Linked DNA regions of Rhinolophus ferrumequinum. The protein of the gene in region 3 interacts with the protein of the main gene of each other region in a pairwise test. Links are inferred from orthologs where the notes say so. Each region holds a gene or a part of one and is shown on either strand. Other genes may lie near its edges.

What was found.
Region 1: the proteins of BHLHE40 (region 3) and SMYD1 interact in binary tests that used the Homo sapiens proteins (3 or more experiments, as listed by UniProt). The link is inferred for Rhinolophus ferrumequinum from reciprocal best matches to the Homo sapiens genes BHLHE40 and SMYD1.
Region 2: the proteins of BHLHE40 (region 3) and RBFOX1 interact in binary tests that used the Homo sapiens proteins (3 or more experiments, as listed by UniProt). The link is inferred for Rhinolophus ferrumequinum from reciprocal best matches to the Homo sapiens genes BHLHE40 and RBFOX1.
Region 4: the proteins of BHLHE40 (region 3) and AAMP interact in a two-hybrid assay, tested with the Homo sapiens proteins (2 studies listed by BioGRID and IntAct). The link is inferred for Rhinolophus ferrumequinum from reciprocal best matches to the Homo sapiens genes BHLHE40 and AAMP.

The regions. Positions count from the first base shown.
Region 1 is NC_046296.1:7,663,807-7,671,164, forward strand, and holds the start of SMYD1 (histone-lysine N-methyltransferase SMYD1), read right to left. Parts: upstream 3,340-7,358; 5' UTR 3,206-3,339; intron 345-3,205; 5' UTR 87-344; intron 1-86. UniProt on the Homo sapiens protein: Methylates histone H3 at 'Lys-4' (H3K4me), seems able to perform both mono-, di-, and trimethylation. Acts as a transcriptional repressor. Essential for cardiomyocyte differentiation and cardiac morphogenesis.
Region 2 is NW_022680357.1:7,882,609-7,890,625, reverse strand, and holds the start of RBFOX1 (RNA binding protein fox-1 homolog 1), read right to left. Parts: upstream 3,184-8,017; 5' UTR 3,087-3,183; coding exon 2,943-3,086; intron 1-2,942. UniProt on the Homo sapiens protein: RNA-binding protein that regulates alternative splicing events by binding to 5'-UGCAUGU-3' elements. Regulates alternative splicing of tissue-specific exons and of differentially spliced exons during erythropoiesis.
Region 3 is NC_046300.1:4,919,788-4,927,542, forward strand, and holds the start of BHLHE40 (class E basic helix-loop-helix protein 40), read left to right. Parts: upstream 1-4,645; 5' UTR 4,646-4,911; coding exon 4,912-4,991; intron 4,992-5,154; coding exon 5,155-5,224; intron 5,225-5,487; coding exon 5,488-5,595; intron 5,596-6,556; coding exon 6,557-6,680; intron 6,681-7,755. UniProt on the Homo sapiens protein: Transcriptional repressor involved in the regulation of the circadian rhythm by negatively regulating the activity of the clock genes and clock-controlled genes.
Region 4 is NC_046291.1:16,971,907-16,979,983, forward strand, and holds the start of AAMP (angio-associated migratory cell protein), read left to right. Parts: upstream 1-5,035; 5' UTR 5,036-5,129; coding exon 5,130-5,250; intron 5,251-5,668; coding exon 5,669-5,827; intron 5,828-6,567; coding exon 6,568-6,687; intron 6,688-7,198; coding exon 7,199-7,338; intron 7,339-7,595; coding exon 7,596-7,740; intron 7,741-8,036; coding exon 8,037-8,077. Other genes in the region: TMBIM1 (protein lifeguard 3), read left to right, coding at 201-347. UniProt on the Homo sapiens protein: Plays a role in angiogenesis and cell migration. In smooth muscle cell migration, may act through the RhoA pathway.

The DNA.
Region 1 (7,358 bases), on a different chromosome or scaffold from region 3:
TTTTAAAACTTAACAAAAACTACTCTATAATTAAATATAAAACAGAGTCCTAGACTCAGATAATTATAAACAGGGCTTTCACCTACCTGAAATGAGCACCTGGATATTTGTGGTTGTGCAGGATGGGCAAAGATTCTTCACTGCGTCAGGGTGTCCCTTGCTTCCCAAGAAATACCGTGTCTCTGTCCAAGATCTAGAAGATAAGCCATTTTCAACGGAGGCAAGTTCCACCACTTCGGGGGCATCTTAGAAGTGTGGGGGTAACTTTTGTTTGTCACAATGATTGTGAGGTGCAGCTGGCGTATTGTGGGGAGAGCCAGGACCATTTAGAAAGGTTTGGATTCCTGTGGGAGAAAAAAAAAAAAAAAACTGGAGATGGGAGACAACAAGGACAGATGAGCAAAAAAAAATTTTACATAAGATTTGTGTTGATATGCAATATAGCAGGAATGTCCCTTTCCCCATTACCAGCCAACAGCCTGATAACTAATACCAACATCCCTTGTCTTGTGAGGCAACTTTTGCAGGATATGCTAAGGAAGGGTAATGCCAGGTCCCCAGTCGTGCACCTCAAGAGTAGAAGAAGGTGACATGAAGAGTCCAAGAGTAGGGGCTGTTTGGGAGCGTTATCACAAGACTAGACATGGGCTTCAAGTATCCTCTCACAATTAGCTCCACTTGTTTACCGGAATCTTGGATAGAATATATTCCCAAATTCCACACTGCAGCCCCAAATCTTTGACCACAGCCTGTACATATTCATAGTATTGTTTTGAGTCTTTTGAGCAAATAATCTCAGAGGCCTTGAAAGACAGATTGCATTCCTTTCAGTTAGATATGTTGCAATTCGGGGAATATGTACAAATTAAGTGGGAGGTAGAAACGTAAATGAAACCCAGAGTAATGGTTTGTGATAAGTTTTGAACCACAGTTTGTGTGCCTGTATTAATACCACAGCAGCTCACCTACCTACCATACCCTGCAAAAACTCAATCCCCTCTATTAAAAGACCCACTGGCTGATCCCCATACCTGCAGAGACCACCATCTAGTGGCAAATCAAGAAAGCTGCAAGATTTTAAATCTTTTTTAAGGTCTGATTTAGTAAGAGAACAACAGCCTTTTATCATTCGTTGTGACTTCCTTTGTACATGGAGCTAACGTTCATTTAGGCCAGGGTTCAACAACTTCTTTAATGGCTGGGGGTGGGGGTGGGGAATCAAAAGAAGAATGTTTTGTGACACTTGAAAATTATATGAAATTCAAATTCCAGTGACCATAAATAAAATCTTATTAGAAAACAGTCACACTCACTTGTTTACATATTTTCTATGGCTTTCTTCACACTACAACAGCAGAGTTGAATATTTGCAACAAAGATCATATGGCCCACAAAGATAAAAATATTTTCTACATGGCCCTTTACAGAAAACATTTGCCAACCCCTGCTTCATTATAATAGCTTCATGCCTCACAATGTTAAATATGCCAGGAGGAGCTCACTGCTTCCACATGCATTCACTGGCTGATTCACCCATTCATTTCAAAATCACTTCCAGCCAAGATCTAAGAAAAAGTTCTTATGCATATCTAGCACTCACATTCCAGGATGACAGTAGTGTGTTCCCTATTTAATAGTCCATTATATCTGTATAATTACATCATTGACAAAACTTCACACTCTCTCTGGTCTCTGTGTTCTTACTAAAATAGCATGCTTATTTCCGGCTTTCTAACTTTGGCTCCAAGAAATTCTTAGCTGCCAATTGCTTTCCTCCCAAAATTCCTAAATTCACTCATTCCCCATGAATTTATCAGCACATGTATCAGGCACTATGCTCAGTGAGTGTCCTGATACAAGATGAATAAAATATAGGCCCTGTCTTCAAGACATTGACCATTTAGAGAGGATGAGGGAAGAGCATATGAAGATGCTGAAAGAGACAGAGGAGTCAAAAGGGAAAGTGTATCCAGGGAAGGCTTCAGAGACGTGGCCAGAGAAGATAAGTAGGGAGGAGGAGAAGCAGAACTGGAGGAGATCATTTCAGGCCCAAGGACCACAGCAGCATGAGCAGAGATGTGAAGGTAAAGAACCAGCATGACATGTGCAGACAACTACAATCTGTTGTGTATGGAGGGAACTATAGAAACCCAGGTAGTATACTGATGTTTATCGTTCTGGGACCAAACTATTGCCTTTTATGTCCTAGTATTTCATATACATTTCAATGCTATTCTAACAGCAACAATAACCGTTCGAATGCTTGAAATTGTCCTTTACTTACAATACTGCGTATGCTTTCACAACACCCTTTGAGGTGGGTATTATCAAGGCCTCCTAGTTGAAAAGTAGCAGCATCTCCTAAGTATAAATCTCAGAGAAACTCTCACATACATGCACAAGAAGACGACACAAGAATGTTAGAGCAATACCGTCCATAAAAGCAAAAATGGGGAACAAGCTCAGTGTCTATCGATAGGAGAGCAGACAGCTCATAGTATATTCATACAGTGGTATGTTATAGAACCATAAAACTGAACGAGTTAAAACCTCACATTTCAGCATACATTAATATAAAAAAAAATGGTGACAAAAGCAAATTGCAAAGGAATAAACAGTATATACCTGGGGTGCCAAAAAATGTATACAAGTGGACACTTTGGTCAATGTTGCTCAAGCAGTAGTTCACCATAATCAGAAGTGTCTGGACGCTGATGGTGACCACTTTGAGCACCTCTTGTAATTGCAGGAGTCAAACGTGACTTGTATTCATCTTTTGTTATCCATATATATTATTACAATTTTAATAGTTTTTTCCTTCCTTAAAATGTGTATACATTTTTTTGGAATCCTATGTATAATAACATTCATGTAAAGTTTTAAATTATGCAAAGCGATACTTCATTTTACCTAGGGATACATACGTAAGTAGTAAAAGTATAAAGAAATGCATGGGAATGAGAAATACTGAATTCAGGATCGTATTTACTTCTGAGGGAAGGAGTTCATTAGGAAGTAGGGAGAGGGCACTCCAGGAAGAGGGAGCAGCATATACAATAAGTTGAGTTATGCAATAGCTTGGTATTTACAGGAATCAGTAAAGGTTTAGCATTGCTGGATCATAAAGTGAAAGCAGGGTGGGGACGTGAGAGCAATAGGTAGGAAATGAGATCAGGGAGGGACACAGAAGTCCAGTGGTACTCACGTTTGACTTCTCCCATCAGACAATGCGGAGCCAGTAACAACTTCTAGATAGAACCCTTTGGCAGTAATTTGAATAGTAGTTTGGAGTGGTGAAGTCAGAGGAAGGATATCAGTTAGGTAGATATTGTCATGGTTCTCACAAAAGATGAGGAGAACCTAAAATTAGGCAATGGCGCTGTGACAGACAAGGATACCCAAGAGTAACTTACACAGTGTACCAGGAGGCATGCCCATCAGTAGGGTAGAATATTATACAGTAATGAAATGAATAGATAAGTTTTATATTCCACAGCTTGGAGGAACCTCAAAATGTTGAGTGAAACAAGTCCCATTGTACTGCATAACGATATAAACCTTAAGAAATTCAAAGACAATCTAAACTTTTTTTTAGCTTCACCTATATGTGATAAAGATATATATGTAAGGAAATGATGACTACAAACCAGGGTAGTGATGTTTTTGGGAGGTGGGGAATAAGATGATGAGATTCGCGTTTGTGTATTTATGTGTGTGTGTGTGTGTGTATATATCCATATATGGATATATTAACAGAGGTGTCATTTATGGACCATTGATGACAGCATATCATAACCAAGGATTTTGCTTAATCTACTCTGTACTAAAGGCCTTAGCAAAGGAAAGCAAAATAAAGCAGGAGATGATGTATTTTTCAGATGCTCTGGCGGTAAAATCCAGATTCCAGCCTTTTGTTTGTTTTTCTTAGTTGGTTTTAGATTCACTCTCAGAAAGGTGAGAGGCCCCAGGTAAGACCATTGTCTTACCCTCCGATGGTTCGGCGTACGGGCTTCTAGGAACGAGGGGCAAAGGCCGGGGTGCCGCGGGGCCCCGGAGCAGGATGGCGCAGGGGGCGGAGCAAACAGGAAGGCGGGGCTAAAGGGGCTCGCCGCCATGGCGTCGGCGCCGTCCAGTCAGCCGCGGGTGGTGGCGGCGACTTCCCCTCCGGAGCCCGGGTCTCCGCCTCCTCCTTCCACCTCGCCTGCTCGGCGGCGGAGGCGGCGTTGGCGGCAGCGGGTGTCCCTGCCTCTCCGCCACCTCCACCTCGGCCTTACCCCAGGCCGGCGGCGTTGGCGGGGAGGGGGACAGTAGTTGTAGACGCCCGCCCCTGCCTCAAAGAAGGTGAGTTCCCGCCCCGGCGGCGGGGGCGGCCCGGGCTTCAGCCCTTCAACTCGGCGGCCCAGTAAACCCCTGCGCGCCAAGCCCGCTGGGCCCGTCCCGAGTACGAAATGGCCGACAGCGTCGGGGCCGGAGGCCCCTCACCACCCGCCGCCCGCGGAGAGGGGCGCCAGGGCCCCCAAGTGGAGCGTGGAGGGCAAAGGGGCGCCTCCGCCTTCAGGAGGCCGAGGTGTGAGTGGGAAAGAGGTGGCCAGGTAGAAAAGGCTGTGGTTCTCGAGTGTCTGCGAAAAGGAAGGGGCATTGATGAGGAAACCCCAAGACTGAGGGGACAGAGATGGGATGAAAGGCCCGAGACGTGGAAGGAAGCAAACCTCCGTTGGGTGACATTCGACCTCCTGGCAGGTACATAGGACAATTAGACGTGGGGTTAGGAATCTGGGTAGAGTAGGAAGTAGCGTGGGAGCTTCAAGTTGGGCAGGCCCCGGGGGAAGGAAAGAGGGCTTTGAGGGATCACTTTGGAGAGTTTTCCTTGGCTTTTTGAAGATCACACCCTGTAAAACAAGCTTCTGAGATTTACAGGCCTATCTGGATAGTCTGCGTTTTACTATGTTAGGTACCAGTGTCAAAGATCACAAAGCCGGGCCTTAGAGCGGTGACAGCAGACTTTATTTGGTTTACCCAGCGGTGACTGGGCGTTTTACAGGGAAAATGAAGGAATCGGAGAGAAGTGGGGTTCAAGTAGATTCAAGGGAGTGAAACATTGCAAAGGGTGAGTCAGTGTGAATGCAGTTAGCTCTGTCTGCTTGGTGGCATTAAGGAAAGGAGGGTTCTGCCCTCCCACCGTGACTGGGAGGCCCGCCTGCCTCCCTGATGATTGCATTTCAAAGGAATGACTTTCAGGTCCTTGGGAGAGAGGCCACCGAGTTGTAGGAGATCCACATCTTCAAGGGTGGGAGGAAGGATTCACAGCCGAAAGCTCTTTAGTAAGTACTCTTAACAGAGAGAGATCAGGAACCTCCCCTACCATCCGGTGTTGGCTGGGACAAACCGTACATCTCTCTTTGACAGCCCCGAGCTTTTCCTGTAAGACCCTCAGGGGCTGCGTCCTCCCAGGTATTCTGCCGTAGGCTTCGGGAGGCCACGGTGAAAATTTGTTCAAGTCTCTGTGTGCAGGGGTTTGGAAGGAGTGGTCCTGCCAAAAGTTTTTAAAGTTCTCACCAACACATTTCCCCTAACACCAAAAACTATTTCCTGATCGTCTCAATCTAAGAGAGATTTAAGACTATAGCGGCGAACAGCCTATGAGATAAGGCTGTATGTAAGGCAGTTTGGGAAATGATTTTAGCTGAAGCGTAAATCCACTGCAGAGTGCTTCAGTAAAACACTTAGCCCTCTTTAATTTAATAATTAACTTTTAGCATTTGCTGTATTGCCTTACGTTGCTTTTCTTGTCTCCGGAGTGAAAGATGGTGAAACACGCCAAAGCCTTGTCGAATAATTTAATTACTTTCTCCTGGAGGGACACCTATAAATATAAAAACCTCATAAAAATAATTTCATTTTTACCTTCTTGCATAATACTATTTTTGCGTGCTATTCCATAATCTTTTAAACTTTTCACTTTGGAGGAAAAGCAAAGTAGTAAAATGTAAATTTCTTAAAACATTATTGTGTACACTTTATATAAATTTCATTCACTAAAAATGGAAATTAGAAATTCATTGCAACCAAGTGATATTCCATTAAGTATCTTAGGACAATTTGGAAGACTAGATTTAGTTTCTTCAATCAGCCTGGGTTAGTGTCATTGTTGATATAAAAAACAAGATCTCCTAGATTTTTGTTCATACCAAACATCCTGCCTCTCACCAACAAGTAAGCCTGAGCAGTTTATAAGTGTCAAGTCTACAGTACAATTTGGTTCCCATAGCCAGATCATAGGAAGATTTGGCAATAGTTTCTCATGAAAAAACAGCTTTTTGCCTGACTTGGCATTTTCTGTTTGTTTTTTGTGATGCCTGAATATGTGCAGAATTACTGAAGACTTGATGTCAGTTCACACAGGGCTACCAATAACCTTCCTATACCACTTCTGGGTAGTATAATAATACTGGAACAGGAGTCTTGTAATAGGTTCTAGTTCTAGTTTCTCCACTAGCTGTATGACCTTGAGTAAATCCCAAGCTTTTCTTTCAACCTTTCAAAGTCCAAAACTTCTTTGAGTTTTGTCATCTGTGGAAAGGGGGATTGGATTAGCCCAGTTGAGTGGTTTTCAACCAAGGATAAATTTGCCCCACCCCCTCACCCTCACCCCCACCCCGAGTACATTTGGCAATGTCTGGAGACATTTTTGGTTTTCACCACTGGGCAAGGAAGGAAGGGCAAGGTGGGAGTAGGTGCTACTGGCATCTGTTTGGTATAGGCCAGAGATGCTACAAACATCCTAAAATGCACAGGGCAGTCCCCGCCAGACACACACACACAAAACAAAGGATTCTCCTACCAAAATGTCAGTAGTGTTGAGGTTAAACTCTGAGGTCCTTGACAGCTTTAAAATTGTGAACTCGTTTACAGTTCCATGTTGATAATCATTCCACAGCTTCGCTGTGTACTAGAATGGCAATTCATAAAACATGAAACTTTGACCTATAATGGCCATCAGATGACATTCAGAAAGCAATGAAATCTCTGTTGAGTTAGGATTGAGATTATTCAGTAGGATTTGAAAAACAAAATATAATTTAGTACCTAAAAAGTTACCTCATCACTTTATTTCAGGTAAATATCCTTCATCAACTGTTCAGTTAACTGCTACTTAACAAATGGTAAATATTTGATATACTATTTAAAACACTTGTAAGACTCTATTTATTTAGTTTAGATATTTATAAGAGCCTTAAATAATGGCCAATTAAGAATACATAAATAAGAAGAAAAAAAAAATGTTGCTTGTTACTTCTCTTATTTTTCTTAAAAAATAAAAATCTCTTTAGGAGATTCCTCCAAAAGGTATCAAAGAA
Region 2 (8,017 bases), on a different chromosome or scaffold from region 3:
TTGGTCTTTCTGAGTAGACTCAGATGCTGAGGTATCCCGATGGGTTTTTGTTTTTATGAGTTGTCTTAGGAGCAAATCTGAGAGGGTTTAAGAAGAAAGGTTGGATGTCAGGGCTGAAGCAAAGAAAGCAAATGATGAAGTAATTTTCCTGAGCTGTTGGATGAGAAATAAGCACCATATGAAACTTCATTCCAGGAAATTATATTTCGGGGAAGACTCGGTGGCCCCCAATCAGAGTTCATGCATTCAGAAACCAGAACGATAAAGGCTCCGAAATAAGACAGCTGTGTCTTAATTATTCTCTTATGCAATTGGTGATCTGGATGGCAAAGCCTCCTGAAATACGTTTCTTTCTAAATAATAATAAAAGGATTCCAAAGGAGACGGCATTTATCATAGAGGCTTCCTGAGTCATCCACTTGATCAGCTTCCTCTGAGACTACAGATGAACTTTCTAATCATCAAAATTAAACAGAGATACAATGATAGCTTTCTGGATTAACAGCAGATAGGAAATACAGTGGCCCTGTATAGATGAATGGTGTACAGATTGTATCTGTAAGTGGTTTGTGGTGATTCAAGTGAACTATTTCACACCCTCACTCAGCCAATGGTCTGGACTGCTAACGAAAAACAATGACATGAGCTTCTGTACAAACTGTGATGACAGCAATGGCTGGGAGAGATGACCTGAAGGTATGGCTCTCTTATCCTGACCGGAAGCCTTTAGAAAGGCTGGGAGCTGCGGCCAGAAAACCTGATTCTCACGAAATCAGGCAAAAATAAATGTCTGCTGGTACTATTCTTCAGGCATTTAGAGAAACACCAGAAACATACACACAGGCACCCCCTACACACACACACACACACACACACACACTGCATTCTGACGTGTGTCACAGTGTCAGTGTATCCACTGTGCCACTCAGAGCATCACATCCCCTTCAAGAGGGGGTTGCCTTCCACAGCATAAAATCCACCTCCGTCTCTGCATATGGCACCATGATGCTGATTTAGTCACTTCTAAGGACTTGTTATGGCTGCCACCATTCCCTTGGATCTCCCCTTTTCAGAGCAGGACCGTTTTTCCCTTCTGGAAGAGCCAGCCAGGCAGATGCTGAGAACTCCTGCATTTATCCTATATACTTGTCCTTTCCGTGGCAAGAATAACCTCCCACTCAAAGTCACTGAATTCTTTCCTAAGTTGTACCTAAATGGGCAAACCAATGTTATGATCTAGAAGGAAGAAACATTATTTAAAAATAATAATGAATAAAGAAACTGTGAGAACACTACAGACCTACAGCTCTCCTTGTTAGGTGATGCTATTCCAATTGATTAATAAATAACATGAAAGAAATGAATATAGGATGTCAAAGATCAACTCATAGTAATACTTAGATTAAATTCAATTGAGGCTTTGCAGCTATAGAAATGCTCAGTAGGATACTCTTCTGGTGGGTAACTACACACACACACACACACACACACACACAGACACACACACACGGCGCTCACAGCAAAGGGCACAGAAATGGAAAAGCAGATGAATCCTCTAATATCTTACCAATAGGTTTTTGGGAAATGTTTCCTGGCACAATTTACTTAATGAGAAATGGACCAAAATAATATTTAAAAGAATAAAGCAATTTGTTTCCAAAATATTCAAACAACACACCAAAAAAAAAAAAAAGGCTGTTCTCAACAAGACTTGCAACAGAAAATACAGCTAAAAACATTTTCTGGAGGCAACCAACTTGAACCCCAATTCCCTAAATGTTCTAAACAGAGTCTCGGCATTTTATGAATACATGTCTTCCTACCACACATGGTACTGACATGGAGATTCTTTGGAGAAGGAGGTCCCCTCTGCACACTTGTAAAGGAAGTTTAGTGGACCACAAGCACACATAGTTAACTCTTGAAGGCACTCCATCAGAAAACAGATAAAAGGACTATAATCACTGCTAACTCCTCATCCAGAAGGACAGGAATCCCAGGACTGGAGGATTCTCATCTGCATGACAAAATCCTTCTAACGCTGCCAGCCACATCCACAGCCCCTGTCCAGTGAGGAAAAGCCACATGTCACCTACCCCCAAGGCAATCCTGAGCTGTTCCCCAAACCCAGGAATCAACTGAGGTGGCAGCTTTCCTAGTATAAATCAGGAAAAGAAGACAGGGAAGGTCCAAGGGAAACACCCAGGGATAGAGAGACGCACAATGAAAGATTCTGAAATGTACACAGAATGGAAAATAAACACAGAATCCCTCAGCAAGACCATTAAGGGAGATTGGAGGAGGGAAAGGAAAAAAAAAAAAGCCTTTACACATAGCAACAAAGACAGCACCCTAAACAGCTCTTCTTCACAGCATTGCCTAAGAATGTGGAGGCAGATTCTGGGGCTGACACGCTCCAGAAACCCAAAGGCTCCCATTCCAAAAGCAACTGAATATAGCACCAGCCAGACAAACTTAAGAAAACAAAAAGACTGAGCATACACACACATACGTATGTGGGTTTTTCTTTCTCTCTCTCTCTCTCTCTCTCTCTCTCTCTCTCTCTCTCTCTCTCTCTTTTTTCCCCCTCCCTATTAAAGCCGCTAAATTAAAACTCCAAGCACACGCCTGCCTCCACACAGCTCCAAACTCAGCATCAAAGGGTTTAGCTCCAGATCACCACGGGTCGGTCACTGGCGCGAGAAAGACCGGAGTCAGGAGCAGGCGGTTTGCAATTTTAAACTCCCAGTACCCAAGCTCGGCGGAAGCAGGCGTTCAAAGTAGTCACAGAGGTGCAAAAACAGCTGGGCGCGGGGTACCAGGGATCCTCGGAAGACTAGGGGCTGCGATGCACCCCTCCCATCCAAACCTACGAGTCCCCTCCCCGGTCCCCTCCAAGGTACCAAAGCGATGCAGGTCCACGGGAAAGCCGCGTGCCTTACCTGCTGTAAGTACATAAAAGTCAAGGCACACGAGAGCTGGGGACACATGCCCACGTTGGGGAGCGCCACGCAGGTGGCCCCCGTCAGAGGATGCTGCATTTTGTCTCTCTGGCGCCCGCCGAGCACGAGTGGGGACGCTCGCATGCAATCACGCCGTTCTTTGCCTGGTCGCTACAATTTTTTTTTTCCCTTTTTAATTTTGCTGATTATCTAAGTCAAACCCCGGTGGCTGTCTCTCTCTGCTCTTCTCTCTCTCTCTCTCTCTCTCTCACCCTCCCTCCCCACCCCACCCCCCCACAGCACCCCGTGTCCCTCCCTCCCTCCCTCACTCCCTCCCTCGCTTTCCTTCTTCCCTTTGGGTTTGCTAGATCCCAGCATTCATCTGCCTCCAACAACTAAGACACTTGAGAGGGGCAGGAAACTATTTTGTTTCTTTCATGGCTTTATTGGGGTGTGTGTGTGTGTGTCTGTGTGAGTGTGGTTGTTGGGCCTGCTTTGTGATGTCTCTTAAAGTGGCAGGTGCCCCCGCCCTCCAGACCCCCAGCCCCAGAAGATGACAGGAACAAGCAAAAGCAACTTCAGTGAAAGGTAGAGGGGGTGGATGCCCTTCTGTAGATGCTGAGTTGGGGGGTTGACAGAGCTAAGGGCCAGGTGGGGGGGAACGGAGAAGGGGGGGTAGAGAGAGAGGGAGAGAGAGAGAGAGATTTGACTCACACCGAGGCTCACTCCGTTGGTCCAGATGCTGCGTGCCTTCTCATTTGTCAAATGGGTCCAGGGCAGGGTTGGGTTTTTTTTTTTCCTTTTTCCCTCCCCTCTGCCTTTTTTTTTTTTTTTAAACGACTCACCAAAATTCAAATTGTGTTTGCTAAAAATCTCCGTGGGGCGGGCGAGGCAGCCAGCGAGCGAGCGCCCCACATCGCCAGTATCCAGACGAGCCGGACAATTCACGCGATCGCCCAGCTGGGACCCAGAGTCTTAGATTTCGGTGGCGATTTGTTTGCCCGACTCATCCGCAAATCAACCCACAAATGGGATTCCCCCTCGTAAAGTGCTGCGAGGACACTAGGGGCCGGGGGCGCGGGGAGCGGGGGCTGCTGGCGCACGAGGTAGGGTGGTTTCTGGGGCCCCCACCCCCTGGCAGGGCGGCCGCGGCAGCGATGCACCCCCAAGCATTTGGGGCGCAGCTTTTCCTGCGCGCCTCGCCGCAGCTGGGCGGGCAGCAGCCGGCACACCAACCAGCCCGGAGCCGCCGAGCGGGAGAAACCGCCCTGGATGGCGTGGAAATCAAGCCTGTTGGACTAACTAACGTGCCAGCCCGGGGTGAATGCAAGGGGGGCTTCTCGCAGCCTAGAATCCCACTCTTCTCAAATTATAAATGCACAGGGTGGTAAGTCCGCGTCTGATAAGAGACTACTCTGTGGGCTGCAGCGGGCAAATGACATGGTTTATTTATTTCATTTTTTTCTTGCCTGTCCAGCCCTCCTCGGCCAAATCAGCATGCTGCTCCTGCAGAGCGGTCCCCACTCCCCTTTATTTTATGAAGTAATAATTATTCATTAGTAGATTTCCTTAGTCTTTTGGCAATAAAATAGGATGTGATCTGCAAATCAAAAGAAAATATTAAGACTCTACCACGTCCTGGGTCCCCACAGGAAAAAAAAAAAAAAAAGCACGTCCCTGGCGGCCGTCAAGCCATGATCAGGGATAATGCCATATTTTGTGATATAGATTTTGACCCAGTGAACGGATTTTCGTTTGCTTTTTCAGAGCTAGAGGCTGTCTGAACAGCCTTTGATTGTTAGGTTCCTTGCGAGAAGTCTCCCTGCGGGCTTTCCAAAGGCCTGTAGGACAGAGATGCCCTAAAAGTGCGGGGACCCTCAGGAAAGAGCGTTTAGGGCAGGACTGGGGAATGGCCACAGGGCAGCCCAGCTGACCCCTTCCTGTGTCTTACTGGGACATTCAGCCAAATGACAGCTTCTGAACTGAGCCATCAGCTCGCAAGGCACTTTGCAGGCTAATCAAAATGCCTTCTGAAGGAAAGGAAATTCATGATTCCGCAGCTCCATTTTCTGTTTTTCTGTTTGCAAACGTCATCAACAACTATAAAGTCTTCACTCTGCCAAACACTAGGCCCCAAAAAGGCAGTTTCCTTCTACTTCCTCCCCTTGCAAACAGTCCCTCCAACACGATGGGACTCACGCATCCTGTCCATTTAGAAGGAGCACAGTAGCACATTTAAGCCCAAGCGAAAGTTGAGATGGGGGTTAGGGGAGTACAGGCTGGTATTTTATGCTGGTTCTTTTTTGGGGGGCTGGCAGTAGTTAGTTTGAAAAATCCTTGCTATATATGTTGTCTCAGACATCACATTCAGCAGACAAGGTCTGGTTTGCGGATAAAATGTTTCTCTTTTTTTCTTTCTTTCCTTTCTGTCTTTCATTATTTGCTTTTGTTTTTCATTTTTTGTTTTTCTCATTTTGCAATTCACAAAACCAAAGTGAAAGGCACTCCACAAAACACAGATGGAATAAACGGTCAATCCTTGCTCTCCCTTTCCCATTCTTTCCTTTTGCCTCCAACAACTCGTTGTACTGACTGGGGTTTGCCCTGCTTTCCTTTATTGTTTTTCTCACTGGCATTGGGAAAGCCTGCAAATGCCCCCAAAAGAGGACAGAATTTTCCTTTCATTCAGCTCATTTTCACGAGAAACACAATAAATAATACATGGCACTTTAATAAGACCTTATCTGAATGGCTTGATGAAAAACAAATACATTATGTAAGGAGCCAATAACTGTTCTCGACTGCCCTGAGCCAAACCTGGTTTTTCCAGTCCGTTTTCTCCCCAAACTTTTAAACCCTCAGTGGTGACTGGATTCCTACAGACCCATTTTGCAATAAGGGTTCAGACTTTCGCTTCAATGTAAGTGTTCACAGTCGGATGCCTTGGAAGTCTGCAAAGTGAGACAACGGAATCCAGACCTTGTAAATGAATCTCCAACCGGTTCCGGGCCAGCCTCCATTCTCTACAGAGCCAAGTCCGAACATCCCTGCCCAAGTGCATGCAAGCACGATTATGCAGAGACAAGTACACACCCCATGCACAGGGCAACTGCAAACAGTGGCTAATATCAGTGGGCCTTAATCATTGGATGACCCCAGACCAAGTGGTAACGCCATATCTGTGACTATTGTTTACTTGATGACAGGACTCTGCCAGCCTTTGCAGCATCTGGGGATGCTGAACTTGAATTCCACCTCAACAGAGACTGAGGAAGAGCCACATCAATGTTACCAGCTCCCAAACGATTCTCCTACATAGGTAAATGGGAGGAGTGGGGGTGGGGAAGTACCCTCCTCTCTCTACAAGAATCCCTGGGCACTCAGCCGCTTGAGTGTCTACATCACATGCACGTTCAAGGACCACCGTCCTGACTTTCAGCTACCAGGACCCTTCATTGCATGGTGCACATACCCTGCAGGGAGCAGAGACAGTGCCAGGGAGCCTGCAGTCAGCAATGCCACCTCCAAATGATACTTCCTTAGGCCACTGCCCCAGTTTTAATTTGATCCACACAACAGTACTTGTAATGTTTCCTTCACTCAAATTCGCCAGTTATTCAAATGAATAGAGGAAATCGTAGTTGTTTTTTTTTCTCTCCCTCTCTTAATTCCTTAGTATGACTTCCTAAGGCTGTCCAAAAGGCAGACATTTAGAGAAAGGAAGGTTTTCTCTGGGAGTTGCCAAGCCTCAGTGCAAGAGAAACTCCAGGGAGACGGGAGGAAAGGATTTCTTACTCCGGGACAGTGTCAAGGAGTCGCTTACAAATAAGCTGCTCTCACTTCCTCATTTTCATATAGGCAGCTACATAGTCTCAAGCTTCAGAAAAGGGAGACTAAAAGTATCAGGAGAAAACGTCATTATTTACTGTCTCTATCACAAGCTCTTTGAGTCACCTACTTGTTGGAACACTTAGACGATATGTGGTTGGCGCTGATTGCATTCCGGGCACTGCTGGGTCCCCAGGGCAGTATCAGTGCGGGGAGGCGAAGACGCCTGACACCACAGAGCTTACATTCTGAGAAGGGGCAGAAAACACAGATTAGAAGGAAACGGCACAGAATACCGAAAGCGATGAGTGCTGTGGAAAAAAGTAAAGGGAGGGACAGGATCACAGGATGGGCACACCTGCGATAAGGAGGTCTGGCAGGCTGCAGTAAACGCTGTAGAAAGAGTGTGCGCGCTCTGAAAAGGCAGCTTCCGCTTCCAGAGAAGCCTTCTGCACCCTCAGCCCTCCACCCTGACTGCGGAGCCCCAGATTTGCCAAATATCTGAATCCTGGGGCTCTCTTGGGTCACTGAGAGTGGTGGTAGCAAGTGTGGCACTTCTAATGACTAAAAACTGGAAAGATTCTCACCTGCACCTTTAATTACTCGAAGTACAGGATCCAACACACTGGCTGGCATTTAGCAGGCACCGAGAAAATACTCAATTGGGTGGACAGATGGATGGATGGACGGATGGATGGATGGATGGACAGATGGATGAATATAACAGAAAGTTAGACAAAATGAACTTGACCTCTTGTTGTCTCTTTCTGCTCAAAAAATAAATTAAAAAATCCAAGGATTCTGAGGTTTTTATGTTTTTAATTTGATTTTATTTTCTCTCTCCGTATGTTAAGCCGGCCCTTTGGCCTGTAAAGTGAGGTCTCAGCCTCTGATGGTCCCTGCGAGCTACCCTGCAGAAACTCCATTTGTCAGACAGTTTTCCTGGCAAAGCCTGGAGTTGGAGGGCCGAGAATTTCCCTGCTCTCAGAAAAGCCCAGCGTTCCTTTCAGAGCAAGGAGCTGTGGCTCAGGCAGAACCAATTCCATACCTTCGAGGGCAATGGCTTTGCCTATAATGGCAGGACTGACGCTGGAGACGAGAGGCTGCTTCTGTGTCAGGAACTCTCAAGCGTCCTGAGTGCAGGGTACCCATGAGACCCAGACTAGAAGAACAGACACTCAAGTACAAACCACGCCCCAGGTCACAACTAGCTCCCACCGCAAAAGCTCTTTTCAAAATTATATTGG
Region 3 (7,755 bases):
AAATTTATTCAACTAGTCTAGAAAACATCAAAATGCATATAGCAAGGGGAAGAAGTATTGTTTAGTGAAATTTTTGTCTGGAATACATTAGACTCTCTTCTTCCTAAGTGACTTAACTTTTTATTTTTAAGCGATCACTGGTTACTCAGGAGTATGAAGGAGGGGGCAGTAGTTAGTTACTCATTGTATGGCCCAACCAAACCTTGTCTGCCCTAAGCTTAAATGAACTTAGTGTGTGTGTGTGTGTGTGTGTGTGTGTGTGTGTGTGTGTGTGTGTGAGATGAAGTAACATGTAGTTCTCACTGTGAGCTGTGATAAAAAAAAAACATTTGAGATTCTTTCTCATTTTACTAGGGATAGATATGTGGATATTCAGCCAATGAATGTAAAAGTTATATTTGTGTTTCAGAGGGTTTTATAATATATTTAACAATATTAAATTATGTTTATTCATGTGTCTTTTCTGGAGACATATTTTAAAGGGAAATGATTTTCCCAATTCAACTATTCTATAGATAAGATTTTAAAGAAACTAATCTTGACTTTGAAATCAAATTCTCTAAAGCTATGTCAAAATAAAATATTTTAGAACTATACATAGAAAGCATCCCCATGAATTCTAACAGCTGGGATAAATGCATTAGGATACACAGTGTTATTTATAAAAAATTATTTTAAAAAGAAGTTCACCACATTACTACTAGCAATAGCTTAAAATCCAAAATATTTTGCAATGCTTTAAAATCCTCTAAAGAACCCTGTTTCATAATCAATAAATCTTCCTTAGCATTTGCTAATTTAACCAGTATAAGCCATTTCAGCAAATTCTAAAAAGGGATGAAATCATAACAAGGATTATCATAACAATGTTAGATCAGGTATACCGAATGAGCTACATTCTCTGAGTCCATTAACAAAATCTTTAGGAAATTAAGGGGTTAAAAAAATTTTTTGAAGTTCCATAAATAGGCAAAAAATTATATCTGAGCAAGAGAAGTGTGAGTACACTCAGGGGGCTGTGAGAGTAACGGTATAGACTGCCCAACACACAGCATAACCAACCAAAACGCTGAGCCCCACAAGGAAAGAAAAGAAAAATCGGTCCTTGCCTTGTACAAAATTATGTTCTCTCTACACTTGGAAGAGACAAAACAGAGAGAGGGCTATAAAATGTCAGGATTACCCAGTGCAGCTGGTCAGTACTACATTGCACAACTCTAGAGGGTGCTCTGCAATGTGAACGGCTCCCCCTGGAGTTGAGCAGTGCACAACCCACACAACTCTATCAGGCAGCCTTGAGTGTAGTAATTAAAAGCACAAGCTTTGAAGCCCAACAAACCTGGGGTCAATTCCAATTCTAATTCCAGGCTGTATAACCTGGGGCAGGTTATTTATCGGCCCCAAGCCTCAATTTGCCCAAGGGAACACATTCTATATTCCTAGGACTTAGTTCAGTACCTGGCACACAGTGGTTCTCAATCAGTATGTGTGCTATAGATGTGAAAATGAGCTTTATAAGGTGGTAGTGAGGAGTAAATGGATTAACATGTACAAAGTTTGTATATACAGTCTAAAAACTAGCACACAATAAGCACTAAACAAATATCTATATAGGATGACAAACTGAAATACTGAGCTTCTTCAGGATGGAAAGATGCATGCTGGGAAGGAATTGTTTTGTTTGATAAAAAATAATCATAGGACGACCAGATAGCTCAGACTGGTTAGAGAGCTGTGCTCTTAACAACAAGGTTGCTGGTTGGATCCCTACATGGGCCACTGTGAGCAGCGCCCTCCACAACTAGATTGAAACAACTACTAGTCTTGGAGCTGTTGGGTCCTGGAAAAACACACTTAAAAAATAAAAGTTAAAAAAAAAATCATAAGCTATTGATAGAAGAAAACAGATTAAAAAATAATAAAATCTGGGTATGGTAGAACTTCGTTAGAGTGAGGATAATTCTTGAAGCTTGAGAGTACAGCTGAAACAAATAAAAAGTAGGAAATGCATATATTTTGTTATTTCAATTGTAGATCAAGTAAGGGCAAGAAATATTGATAACTTCAACGAATTCTAAGAAAATTGTCAGAGCCCTGAACCACGGAAGCAGAGAATTGTGGGTTCACTCCTGGCGTGGGGGGGGCGGTCGTGGGGGAAGCAGGGGACAGCTGAGGGGGACATGTGTTCCTTCCTCCCCGCTGTGCTTATTTCCTGGTGGAATTGTGGTTCTGACGCAGTCATGACAACTCTTCATCCTTATTAAGGTCGCACAACAGAGCAGGTCACCCTAGATTGAAAGCACAAACGCAGGACAGACTCCAGTCGCCTCCTTGGCCTGTGGTTCTGCTGCCCACCTCCTGGCAGGAAGTGGCGGTGCAGTCATTCCCTCCAGAGAGATGGCTGATAACAAAAGCCAGCAGAAGTACATTCCGAGAGGGAGGGAGGGATCGCTGAGCCCCCAAGTGAGGTCATGCCAGTCAGCAGTTAGAAAAGCAGGCATTTCTCACACTTGTTAATGAGCCTGACGCTCGTGAAACATAAACAGGAAGTGGGAGCTCTCCAAAGCGGCCTGAAGGAAATCCACTCCCAGTTTGGTCAACGTGTGAAGCCCAGTTCTCTGGATTGTCAAGGTCATTGCCAATTAAGACCGACATCCTCCCCGCTCCCCCCGGCGCACCCGAGGCGCATCTGGACCCAGCCCAGCAGTGACCCCCCCCCCTTTTGCAGTCTTTCCCACAGCCAGGTCACTCGGCGGCGGGGTGACTGACCCAGGCGGGGGAAAGGCTGACAGTCATCTCTCAAGTCCCGGGCGGGCGGCGGGGCAGGGCAGCGCAGAGGTCAGTGAAATCCCCGCCGGGCCTTATTTTAGTCATGAATTTCCACTGGCTCCCTCCTCCGACTGCATCAGCGGGACTCGCGCCGCTGCCTTGGCCTTTGAGCGGTTCTCCCTGCTCCAGGTCGAGTGAGAAGGTCACAGAGACCGGACTTTTCCGGGGGAGGTGACGAGGTGGGGGCCTCGGCGAGCGGCCTACGGAGGATGGCAGAGACCTGGGGCGCGTGGAGGGGGCGTTTGGACCCCGGGCTTCTCCACTCCTCCTCTACCCAGGCATCTCAGTTCGTATGAAATAAAATTATAAAACAAAACCACAACGCCGCAAGAAAAAACGGGGGGAGGGGAGAAATTATTTTCTCTACCAGCCAGTGGCCCCGATATAATTTTCCCAGGCTGCCTTCCCCTCGTTGCCCAATCTGTCCTCTTCGCAGCGGTTCCTGTAAATTCCCTGTAAATTCAGGGGCAGAATCTGTGTTTGATGCCCCCAGTTTCTGTACAACGGGTACAACGCCGGGCACAGAGTAGGGGGCTCGCTCAACGACGCGTGTAAATGCTACGATTCACGGTGACGGGCAGGCTTCTCGCCTCTCCCCCCTCCGGTTCTGCGCGCAGACCGCACACAGCGCCGCCAAGTTCCTGGCAGGCATAAGACTTGGCCGACCCGGCGGGCACACCGAGTCCTGGGGTTCGGTCTCCCAGCCGCGCACAGGGCCGTGCAGCCCGCGACGTTGCGGCCCGAGCCCTAGCCACGTGAAGCGTCCCGCTCCGGCCGCTGCAGGGCAGGCGTCACCGGCGCGGTTGTGTAACTCTGCAGCCGGAGGGGAGGCGGCCCGGGAGCCTTGCTCCCGAGGGGGCAGAGGAGGGAGGAAAGGAAGGGAGCCGCGCCGGGTGTCTTTTTGTGCTTGACTAGTGAAGTGGGTGGGGGGCACCCGGGGGGTGCGCACGTGGGTGCCCGCGGCCTGCAGGCTACGCCCGCCAGCGGAGCTCGTGGGAGCCAGGGACCGCGGCGCACACGCTCCGCGGTCAGGTGCGCGCAGCGTGCACGCCGGCGGCCTCGGCTGCCCCTGCGCTTGGCCACCAGCCGGCTTCCCATGGGGTGACATCCGCCCCGCCCCTCGGCCCCTCCCCACGGCGGGCAATTCCTGGACGCGGGGCAGCGGGGTGGGGGCAGGGAAGCTGAGACGGAAAGAAACCCCAGCCTCTGGGGAAGGCATGGGGCCGGGCGACTCCCTCTGCAGCGCGCGGGTTCCTGCGAGCGGCCAGGCGGGGGAGGAGGAAGAGGGCTGGGCTGGAGCGAGCGAGGGGATATTCCTCTCCCAGCTTGAGTCAGACGCGGGCGGATCCGTCCTCCCCCGTCCCCTCCCAGGAGACGGGAACTTACTTCATTTCCCTGGGGCAGGTTCGCCCACGTTACCACACACCTCCCCCCCGGCTCCCCTTCCAGCTTCCGCGCCCCTCACCCGGCTGGGCAGGACCCAGGCCGCGCCGCCACCCCCTCTTCGGGGAAAGGCAGCCGCACCGCAGACACCTGGGGGCCGGGACTGGGGGTGGGGGCCCCTCGCCGCCGCGGGAGCGCTGTCCAACACGTGAGACTCATGTGATGAAGCCGGGGGAGGGCGGGCAGGTCGCTCCTTCCCTCCCCGGCAGCGGCCAGACGTGCCTGGAGTCACAGGGTAGAACACGTAGCTCCAACCCACCCACTCGCTCCCATTTAACCCAGCCCGCAGCCTCTCCATTACTCCACGGCTCCCCGCCCTCACTGCCCCCCCGCGCTTCCCTCCCGCCTCCCCGCCCGCCCCACTTCTCATTCACTTGGCTCTCACGGCGCAGACGGCACAGGGAGCACACACCGCCAGGCTGTGCGCAGAGTCGGAGCCAGAGGCCGCGGGGACACCATGCACGCCCCCAACTGAAGCAGCAGCATTTCGTAGCCGCAGCTCCCGGCAGCCAGCGGATTTCAGGGAGCTCAGATTCAGAGGAAACCTTGCGGAGAGAGCTCCGAGGCCCCCTCCAGGACAGTCCTCACCCGACGATCTCCTGCAGACAGGAGCGCGTTGTGGCCCCGGTTCGCCGTGCCATGGAGCGGATCCCCAGCGCGCAGCCGCCCCCCGCCTGCCTGCCCAAGGCGCCAGGACTGGAACCTGGAGACCTACCAGGGTAAGTGGGCACCCCTGGCCCCTCAAGCCTCAACTCCAGCCCCGCGTTCTGCTCGGCGCTCTACTTGGAGCAGCTCTGGGCGCATCCGGGGGTTCCTGCCCGCCAGGCTCTGCAACCCGGGCTCACACAAACTCACGACCCTTCCTGGCCCCTCTCCCTGCAGGATGGATTTCGCCCACATGTACCAAGTGTACAAGTCGAGGCGAGGAATAAAGCGGAGCGAGGACAGCAAGGTAAGAGCCCCGCGCCCCTGGGGACCCCAGCCCCTAGCATGCGCTGAGTTTCCAAGAAAAGTTTTCTCACTCTGAGGCTGGAGGGGTATGCGTGGTGCGGGCTCGGCGCTTCTACCGAGTGGCTTGGAGAAAAGGGGGCAAGAGGCGGTTCTGGGTGTGACTCTGCTACGCTGCCCCGACTCTTCTCGCGCACCGGGGTGGGAAGGAGAGGGGCTTCTCACCCCCTTCCTTTGGTGCCCACTGCCTGCCCGTGCGCCTTGCAGGAGACATACAAACTGCCGCACCGGCTCATCGAGAAAAAGAGACGTGACCGGATTAACGAGTGCATCGCCCAGCTGAAGGATCTCCTACCCGAACATCTCAAACTTACAGTAAGTGAGAAGCTGGCGGCTCTCCAGGCTGGCTCCTCAGCCCAGAGGGCGGGCGGGGGTCACTCGCCGCCTGCAGGCCCAGCCGGGAACTGCAGGCCCCTCAGGGAACTGCCGAGTAGAGAGCTGGATCGGAGCCCGGGTGGCTCTATTTGGGGGTACCCTTCCCCAGCCCTGGGATTTTCTGGCAGCCTCACGCAGAGGAGGTGAGAACCGCTTGGACTTCTCCAAGTTGCCTCCAACACCAGCTGGCCTTCTTTTTCCAGAGTTTTAGATTTTCCCGTGTGGTGATTTTCAGGGTTCTCGAGTTTTCCTGACTTGAGCAAACCAAGCAACACACAGATCTTATTTACCCCTTTTTCTCCTTTTTTTTTTTTTTTTAAGTAATAGGACTTGTTTTGGTGTGTGATTTTTACATCCTGTCCTTTCTTGGGAGTAGCCTACAGCTTACTAACTTGGCAGACTTTGGTTGGGGAAAGGAAAAAAAAATAGTATTTGAGGAGGAAAAAAAAAGACTGGATGAGTTGGGAGTTATGAACGGGTGTCAGGAAAGAAACGAGGGAAAACCTCTTGGCTGTAAGACACAGTAGAAATCCCTCCTCGGCTGACACCACTGCAGAGAAATGTTCACTTGATTCCCGAGTTAAGGTCAGCAGCCACTGCTGGAGAAATTTATCTATCAAAGATTTTTTCCTGAGGTAGCCGCTGCTTCTAAAATGCCTCCAAAGATAGGTGGCACTCATTTTTTTATTCTTTAATCCGATATATATGTGTGTGTGTGTATATATATATACATATATATACATATATATATAATCTATAAATTTTAAATTACATTTAGCTAGCCAGGAAAGGCTAGTTCTTTTTTTTTTTTTTCCTTTAGAGACATTTCTCATTGCTAATAAGTGTCTGAGAGGTGGGACTTGTCTGAGCTCATTGCTGACGGAGGCTCTTTTGATTCCAGACTTTGGGTCACTTGGAGAAAGCAGTGGTTCTTGAACTCACCTTGAAGCATGTGAAAGCACTAACAAACCTAATTGATCAGCAGCAGCAGAAACTCTTGGCCCTGCAGAGCGGTTTACAAGCTGGTGAGTGCCTGCGTCTGGCTGTCATCTCCGGGGAGTTCTCGTCGCACAAACAGAGCCTGTGGGCTCAACATCTGCTATAAGAAACAGTGCTGCAAGGAATTGCTTGTGCATGTTTGTTTGGGGGAGATGCCATTTTATCGTTCCTAAAAGGTCAGACTTCTTATTTGGAATGCTGCTGTGTGCCACCTGGCATGAATACACATTAGTCAGATGATAAAATATTACTGTGACATTTTGGCTTAAGAGTTTCTGGGTTCTGGGAGATTTCCCCCCTCCCTTTTAAAATGCCAAGGCACCTATAATTTGCATCGTGGGTGTTTTAGTTGGTCCTCTTAGCCCTCTTTCAATGGAGAATAAATCAGAGGTATGCCCCAGTGTTTTCCTGTTTCTGTACTTCCTTATCTCTCGGTGTGTGGTATGATCCTGGCAGGATGACAGCAGGAGTTTTTCCTGCATTTCATGTGGTTCCCTGAATAGCCACTAGGCATCTTGGTGAATTGCACAATCTAACGAAACCACTGAAGTTTCATCATTCGTTTCTACTCTCTTCCAGAGAATCACACTCACCTTCTAACCTCCTCGTCTCCCTGCTTCCAGATAATACTGTACAGACTGGGGAAATTCTCCTGCCCACTCCCTCATTCCATTCTTCTCTGCCATCCTTGCCAAGCCTAGTGGGATGAGAATCACAAAAATCTAGCATGTGCCTCTGCCAGGTCCCCCACTGAAAATAGAAAGATGATCGTACCTAATGTCTTGGGGGTCCTGGATCGAATACATAGAAAAGGCTTAGAAAGTGATTAGCTCCATTTCAAGATGACTGCATGACTGCAAAGGGTAGAAGTCATTGAAAATCAGTTTACTTAAGGTGACATCGTTCGCTCATTCTTTCTCATTTTATGACTATCTCTGTCCATCTTGCTATGATGAGATTGATGTTCTATAAATTGACTCTTTGGTTTGTAAACAAACTAGGATGTTCGCTGCTGTGTCACTTATAGTGAAAATTCAGGAACAACTTGCAAATTCAACAACAGGAAAAAAAGTCAATATTAATTATGGTCTATTTCTATGC
Region 4 (8,077 bases), on a different chromosome or scaffold from region 3:
GCTCCAGAACACTCAGCAGGCCATACTGTGGACGGGGTGTGTCTCTCCCTTTCTGGCCTGGGAACTTCTTGAGGGTAGACACCATGTGTCGTGTCCCCTAAGCACACTGCATGGCACAGGCTCTGGGGACAGATCTGCTGACGGGAAACGAGCTTGGGCCCTGTGCCCGCGGTCCTCACTCAGCCTTCCCTCTCCCGCAGTTCCTGGCCTACGACACGCAGCTGGTCCTGGGGAACCGGAAGCACACCATCAGCCCGGAGGACTACATCACGGGCGCCCTGCAGATCTACACAGACATCGTCTACATCTTCACCTTCGTGCTGCAGCTGGTGGGGAGTCGCGATTAAGGAGCACCCCCAGTTCTGCTCCACCCTGAGGGCTGGGCCCTGTGATCGGGGTCTGGGCCCCAGACCCCTATCCTTCCCCTCAGTTTCCTTTCTGTCCTGGGGTGGGTGGCCTCTGGCTTTGGATGTGCAAGTGCCACCTGGTGAGGCTGGAGGAACTGGGGACTAACTCTTGCCCATGGTGGACTTAGCAGGTACTAGGCCGAAGATGTGCCTTCTACCTCCACCCACTATGTGGCTCCAAATTCTTAACAGCTGGGGTCAGCTGGGGTCAGCTAAAAGGGAAGGAGGCAGAAATGACCTCAAGGTGATGAGGTTTCCCCTCCCACCTCTGCCGTAGACTCTGGGCTAGGGAGCTGGAGGCGTTTCCTCCACCAGAGCCGGAGAGCTCTGTCCCCAGCCTCCGGGACTCATAAGCCATTACCCTGTATTCCTTTGGCAAACCTTGGCGCTTCCTGACTCAGGAAGATTGAAGAGATCTGTGCCCATGGGTCCCCCTAGATTCAACCCCTCTTCTTTTGATGGCATGTATATACTGTTTATGTGGGTGAGGGGGGAGGAAGAAGAGCAAGCAAAGTCCAGCACGGGCCAATACTGAGCTGCATCTCCCCTGGGCTTCCTCCTGGCGGCGGCGGCAGCAGAGACAGCAGGTCCACGGCTATCTGGGCCCCATTCTCCAAAGCTGCCTAGGGCCTCCTGGGGAATTCTGGGATCTCTGGTCAGAGGGATCTCTTGCTCCCTGTGCTCAGGCTGCTCAAAGCAGAAAGTGAGGGGCACAGGTCAGGAGAGGGGGTGGTTACATCCAGGAAGTAACCAGGATGAAGAGACTGGGCTAGAGGCAGGGAAAATGCCTCGGGGTCCCCTGCCTGGTCTGAGAGATGGAAGCCTACTATGGCACCCATGGAAGCTTCGGCGTTCTTCTGCTAACCTTGGGGAGGGCCCTGAGAGGAAGGAGACTTCCTCTCTCAGTTTGTTCTTAACACTTACTGGTGAATTTTATACTGGAACCCCATTCCTCCAGCCAGCTACTGCTTTCCTGTGGCTCTAAGTGCCTTAAGCTGGAAGGGGGAAGAGGGAGAGGGGTCACTCTATCGGGTGGGGAGGAAACCAAGTCAGCCCAAGGGTATAATTAGGATTCCCTAGTAAGTCCTCAGTCCTGAGTATATCACACAAAAGGATGTAACTAGAAATGTAATAAAGTTTTATGTTTAGAAGTTAAAACCCTGTTTGGCTCTGTTTGCTTCCCTTTAAGGTGTCAGCTCTGGGAGTATCAGTTCGGCTCTCCGCACAGCATCCACTGCCTACCTTTGCATTCTGGCTTGCCATCTTCCACCTTTTCTAGGATAACCAAATACACTTTGCCGCAGTGCTTCCTGGTGATGATGCAACAGGCGGGTGAAAGCTCAACCTGCGTTACTGGGTCTGGCAGGGACTGCTCACAGCAGCAGCACGTGACCTTTTCTGCATCATGGACACTTTACAAAACCTCTTCCCCACAAAGCTGTATGTGTACACACCCTCTCACGGTTGGAGTGGGAGAGATGGACTGCAGGTGCATGATTAAAACCCCTCGCCTTAGAAATCACTAGTCCAAAACCTCTTACAAACAAGTAAACCGAGGCCCAGAGAGGTGGAGTCATTTGGACTCAGCCATGAGTAGTGTTTTTTTCCTTCCACTCCCTCAATGCCCTCTTTGATTCTTTTTATTATTTGTTCAAAGCTGAGAGACACCCCACCCTCCTGGCCAGCAACTCTGAGGCTTGGTCCCCAGGGTCTGAGCCTAGGCTTGTTGCTTAAGTCTCTGTGGTTTCCTCAACCATCAAGCCAGGTACACTGAATACGTCAGTGAGAGGCAGCACTCGGGAGTAACCAACCCCGCCCTCTGCCCCTCCCGTCCCAAGGGACTGACAAACCCAGTCCTGGTGCCTTTCCACTCAAACACTCAATAACTTTATTTGCCTTTGGCTGGTTTCTCAGGCTGGAGGGGAGGGTAGGGGAAAGGATGAGGGCTGGCAGCAGCCTGGGCTTCATGCGCCCCCTGGTGGACCTCAGAGGCAAGGACCAGAATTGCAGCCAAACCCAGAGGACTTGACAGTCTGGAGGCCAGTCAATACAGTCTAGGGGAGGGCTGCAGCGTTCCTCAGGTCTGCACCCCGGACCCAGCTTCAGGAGACCGGGCATGATGGGAGGAGGCCCTGAACCTCTGGCTCTCATACTCGCCCGTGTTGGATGCCCGCATGTTCTGCCGAGCCTTCATCTGCTTCAAACGGTTCTTGTCCACTTCCCGCTTGGTGAGGATGAAGAGAAGGATACCACAGGGGAAGCCGATGGCCCTAGGGGTGGGGAGATGTGCACCGGGTTTGGGGAGGGACCACGCCTGAGCCAGAAGAGCTGCGGGGAAGCTCATTCCAACTTCACTGAGTTCATGAACACTGCAATACCTCTTGTGTCTATCAGCCTTCGCGCTGGCGGCTGGAGGGCCCCATGAAATTCAGATCCTGCTGCTGCCCTGCTTAAAACTCCGTAACAGCTCTCCATCACTTCCCGGACAAGTCCAAACTCCTAGGCATGGCACAAAAGGCCCAATGTGGTTGGGTCTCTGCCCACTTCTTCATTCCTTTCACCTGTAGCCTGACACCTTTCAACATGAGCCCTGCAATTCTGCTGCACAGCCTGTGCATGAGTCTCCAGACGGCCCATCCTCTCCCTCTCCAAGTCTTGGCAAAAGTTCCCTCTGCCTAAACTGCCCCAATCTCTCTCCCAGACTCCCCTTCTGAGTAACCGCTACTTAGGAGGCACCTTAGTGTGGGGAAAAGGGCATGGAGTCACAAGACCTGGTGAGAATCCCAGCTCTGAGCCTCAGTTCTCTTATCTGTGAAATGGGATGTGATATTTATCAGAAAGACTAAAACATTACACTGTAAAGTCCTGGCACACCTAAGGTGCTGAAGAAAAAGGTTAATTTCCCCCTCCTTTACCTTTAGTATTGATCAGTACTATGTATTAAAGTCAGTTGGATCCAAATGATGATATACTGAACACCTTTTAGGTGAGACCTCCATTGGGTCTCACACCAAGCTCCCAGGAGAGGATGACGCCAGAGACCCAAATTTAAATCCAGTTAGCTCAGCTTACTCCACAGAAAACCCCCACTGTCTCTCCAATTGCACACACTTTCCCACCTCCCCTGCCCCATTCCTCTGAGAATCCAGTCCTTGCACCCAGCAATTCTGTCCCCACAACCTTGGATTCAGTTCACCACCTGAAACTTAGACAAGTTTCTGGGTCCTGCCCTCCCCTGGCGCCACTCTCCATCGGTGGGCAAAGGGTTACTTTAAAACTCACCAGGCTAGTCCCACTGCTTTCATGGGATTCTTGCCCCTCTTTCTTGGAATGTATTCCAGTTCAGGAGACAGGGGCTCAGGCTCTTCCTTGCACTCCGGGGAGCTGTGGCTTTGCAGTGCCCGAGTTCTGTTCTGAGCTTTGTTAGCTGTGGCTCCAGAGAGAATCCCTGTGGATGGAGATAACGAAGGTCAGTAAGGCAATGAGAAGAAAGCCTGGGGAGGAGTGGTTGAGATCTGTGGAAGGGAAGTGACTGCAGTTCGGTGTAACAAGTGCCAGGGAGATTTCAAAGGGAAACGTTTGGAAAATCGCCATCGAGGTGACACTTTTGGAAGCCACTTCTACGTCATTGTGGGCTCATAACCCTGGTGCCAGGAGAGCAAGCCTCGCTGTTCTTTATCTGCTCGGAGGACAGGATGGGAAGGACTGCAGTGGGACTCACATGAGACGTATTAAGGAAATCCGAGAAAATGTTTTCAAACGCAGAATGTTAACACGGGAAGGGAGCTTAAAGGTGGTCTACTCCGTCCCCTCGTTTTATAGAAAGGAAACTGAAGCCCGGAAAGACGAACTGCTTCTCCCAAGGTCAAACTGCTAATTATCCGGGGCTGGAACCCAAGCCTCCAAAAGCTGAGGGCTCTTGCCTCTGCACTGCGGTGAGTGTGAAAACACCTGGAGCGCGGGAGTCTAAAAGGCTTCCTTGGGGCTCCCTCTCGCAGCAAGACCCCAGAGATGCTGTGAAACCCGAAGGCAGAGGGATGGACTGGGTGACCTCTAGAGACCATCTTTTAGCCCCCAGATTCTTTAACATCCTGTAGGGAGGTGCGAGCAGGAATCGACAGCCCTAACCTCCTGCTATCGCCGGGCGGGATGTGAAAAAAAGGTATGCCCTGAAGTACTGCCCTCCCCCGGGGCCCCTCTCCTTACCCCGGAGGACGCGGGCATTTCTCGCCCCCCGGCCCTTCAGCGCCGTAGCAGCTACCACCGCCGCCATGTTCAGATCCCACCCCCCTTCACCGCGCTCCCCGTCGGGAATTGTAGTTTGCGTAAGGGGCCACCCCCGCTCCTTCCGTCCCGCCTACAGACCAGAAACTACATCTTCCAGAAGCCCGCGGAGAGAACCGGCGAGAACTACTCTTCCCAGGAGATCCGGAGGCGCGCACGCTCGCTTGTTTCCCTCCTGTCAGGGGCGGAGTCAGGTCGGGCGGAGTTTGGGTTCTTCCCGCCACGCCTCGTCCCTGTCTCCCAACTCTGCCCTATGATTGGTGGTTAACCTAGCCAACCCTTTTCCCTACTGGCCGAGCGGCCGTCGCTCTTCTTGCTGGGGGAGTCGCCTACGCCTACTTCCTTCCCGGGAGGAGGGGCTCGAGTTCCGCGTCGTCGCGCAGAGCTGACTCTGGGAGGCGTTTGGGCCCAGAGAAGTGGATCGGCCGCTTGCGCCGCATGGAGTCCGAATCGGAAAGCGGGGCTGCTGCTGACACCCCCCCACTGGAGACCCTAAGCTTCCATGGTGATGAAGAGATTATCGAGGTGGTAGAACTGGATCCCGGTCCGCCGGACCCGGGTGAGCATTGCTGGTCCTCAGGCCATGGGACAGGAGGCGTTCACCCCTGGCCTCTGACCCCTGCTTCTCCCGCCTCCCCTGCACACCCCACCGGTTATTCCTACCGACCTCCTTCGCCCTGCCCCTCTCCCCCACCCCCACACTTAGTTCTCAGGCCTGGCCGGGGTGGGGGTTCCCCTGACGCCTCCTTTGGCCCTTCCCCTCACACACCCCCTTCCCATCATCCCCTCGGTCCTCCTTTTCCACACAGTCTCTGGCCAACCTCAGGTTCCCAGACCCCTCCTATGCCCCCGCTTCATCCAACGTGACCTCACCTACTCTCTTGCCACTTGACCCACCCCAGCGCCAGGCCTCCCCACACTTCTCTCCATCCCTCTTACCGCCCGCTGAGCCCCATCTTTTATCCCTCTCCCCAAAGCAGATGATCTAGCCCAAGAGATGGAAGATGTCGACTTCGAGGAAGAGGAAGAAGAGGAAGAGGGCAACGAGGAGGGCTGGGTTCTGGAACCCCAGGAAGGGGTGGTCGGCAGCATGGAGGGCCCAGATGATAGTGAGGTCACCTTTGCCTTGCACTCAGGTAGGTCTGTGAGGAGAGCCCTCGTAAACGCGGGCCCCGCGGGCATTGGAGCATCGCACATCCGCTGTGTACAGAGCGTTAGGAGGGACCCAGAGATGGGAAAAGGCTGGCCTGGCCCTGGAGGAGCTCGCAGGTAGGGGGCAGTATGATGGAATGGAGGCGAGCTTGGCCCCTCGAGTCCCTTGAGAAACGTAGGTTCAAATCCTATCACTGCTACTGACCAATTTATGATTTTTATCAGCTTCTCTGGATCTTAGTTTTCTTTTTTTAATTCAAGTTGATTGGGGTGACAATTGTACTTAATTTTCTTTTAAAACGTTACCTTGGTGTAAATGCGATGTTACAGTACCCTTTTGAGCGTATTTGCTATAATCCTCAAAAGTTAGCTCTTCATAAGCACCAGTACCGTGATGCTCCCCTCCCTGTTTGTACCCAGCCGGGTGGCATCCCAGGCTGAGAGCATTAGCGCTGCACATGCACCCTCCTCGTGTCCACAGCGTTAGTGGGGGCTGGTGAAGGGGGCAGCACTGTAGGGGGATCTGCCCCGGAGGAGCTTGGCAGGCTTGGGGAGTGACTTCTCCAACGACCTGATGCTTGAAACTTAGAAGAACTTGAATGCACCCTTCTTTCCCTGAGGAAAGACATGTTGCTTTGGGTGGAAGGGGGTGGGCTTCCTGCAGGTCCCAAAGGACTGAACCCTAGGTGGGAGCCCCTTACTCATGGAATATCTCTTGGGACAGCATCTGTGTTTTGTGTGAGCCTCGACCCCAAGACCAACACCTTGGCAGTGACGGGGGGTGAAGATGACAAAGCCTTTGTGTGGAGGCTCAGCGACGGGGAGCTGCTCTTTGAGTGCGCAGGTGAGGGGCCCAGGTGAGGTCGTGTCCCCTTGGGGGTCCTAGGGGGCTGGCCTGCAGCGGGTGTGCATCCAACAGCCACGTATCGATCCCCGTGTTGCCAGCTCTGGGCTGGGCCTGAGGACCCCAAAACAGAATAACGTCGTCTGTCAGGGACATAGGGGAGTGAGGCACGAATTGGGAAGGGAGTGTGGGAAAGGCCTGAGGCGGCGACACAGGCTGGCGTTGGCGTGTTTGGGAAGAGGGAAGGATGTGGGTATTCCAGGCAGAGGTGTGGAGTGGGCGGAGGGGAAGACAGAGGCCGCAGCTACGTGTGGTTGTGTTGGGGGCAGCACGGTCTCCTCTGGGAAGACCTGGGTGTGTGAGTTCCTGCAGCGGCAGTGAGTTTGCTTACCTGTTCAGCTAGGGCCTGCCCTTTTGTTCCCAGCTGGTCCTTTAGGGGCCAAATACCTGGGTCATGTGTCCCCCTCACTAGGGGCCCTGATGTTCTTTTTCTGCCCACTTTTCCTTGAAGGCCATAAGGACTCTGTGACTTGTGCTGGTTTCAGCCATGACTCTACCCTAGTGGCCACAGGGGACATGAGTGGCCTCTTGAAAGTGTGGCAGGTAGACACCAAGGAGGAGGTCTGGTCCTTTGAAGCAGGAGATCTGGAGGTGAGATCATCAGAGTGGGATTCAATTCTGGAGGGGTCTTGGGTCCAGGGTGAGCGCTTGGGGGTCTAGTCCCATCTTTATCAGACCAGCCACCTCTGAGCCAGTGCACTCTCAAGGTGCAGCACCAATATCTGTGCCTGTCACCTAGAATGTCCCCACTGATTCAAAAGCAAGGAAAGGTTGGTGGGGCTCATGAGGCAGGTTCCTAGGTGAGATGGGGTGATGGGCCTCCCTGCTGACTCTTCCTCTCTGTCCAGTGGATGGAGTGGCACCCTCGGGCACCTGTCCTACTTGCGGGCACCGCCGATGGCAACACCTGGATGTGGAAGGTCCCGAATGGTGACTGCAAGACCTTCCAGGGTCCCAGCTGCCCAGCCACCTGTGGCCGAGTCCTCCCTGATGGTGAGAGCAGCTCCCGTGAGCATCCCTGAGTGCTTTCCCGAGTGCAGAGGTTGGACGTGGCGTGCCATGTCTCTTAGGCTCCCTCCAGGGCCACAGCTGGCAATCTCCGAGCCTGCTCTTAGCACTGATGTCCTAGGTCCCCGAGCAGACAGTTCCCCCTTTCCCACCCTGAAGTGGTCTCCTCGGCTGGTCCTTGGGGGCAGTGTCCCCTCACTTCCTTGCCCTCTCCATTCTCTCGCTGGGTGTGTCTGAGTGTGCCGTCTGTCCTCTCTTCATCTGTGCTTCTGGCCCTTTAGGGAAGAGAGCTGTGGTTGGCTATGAAGACGGCACCATCAGG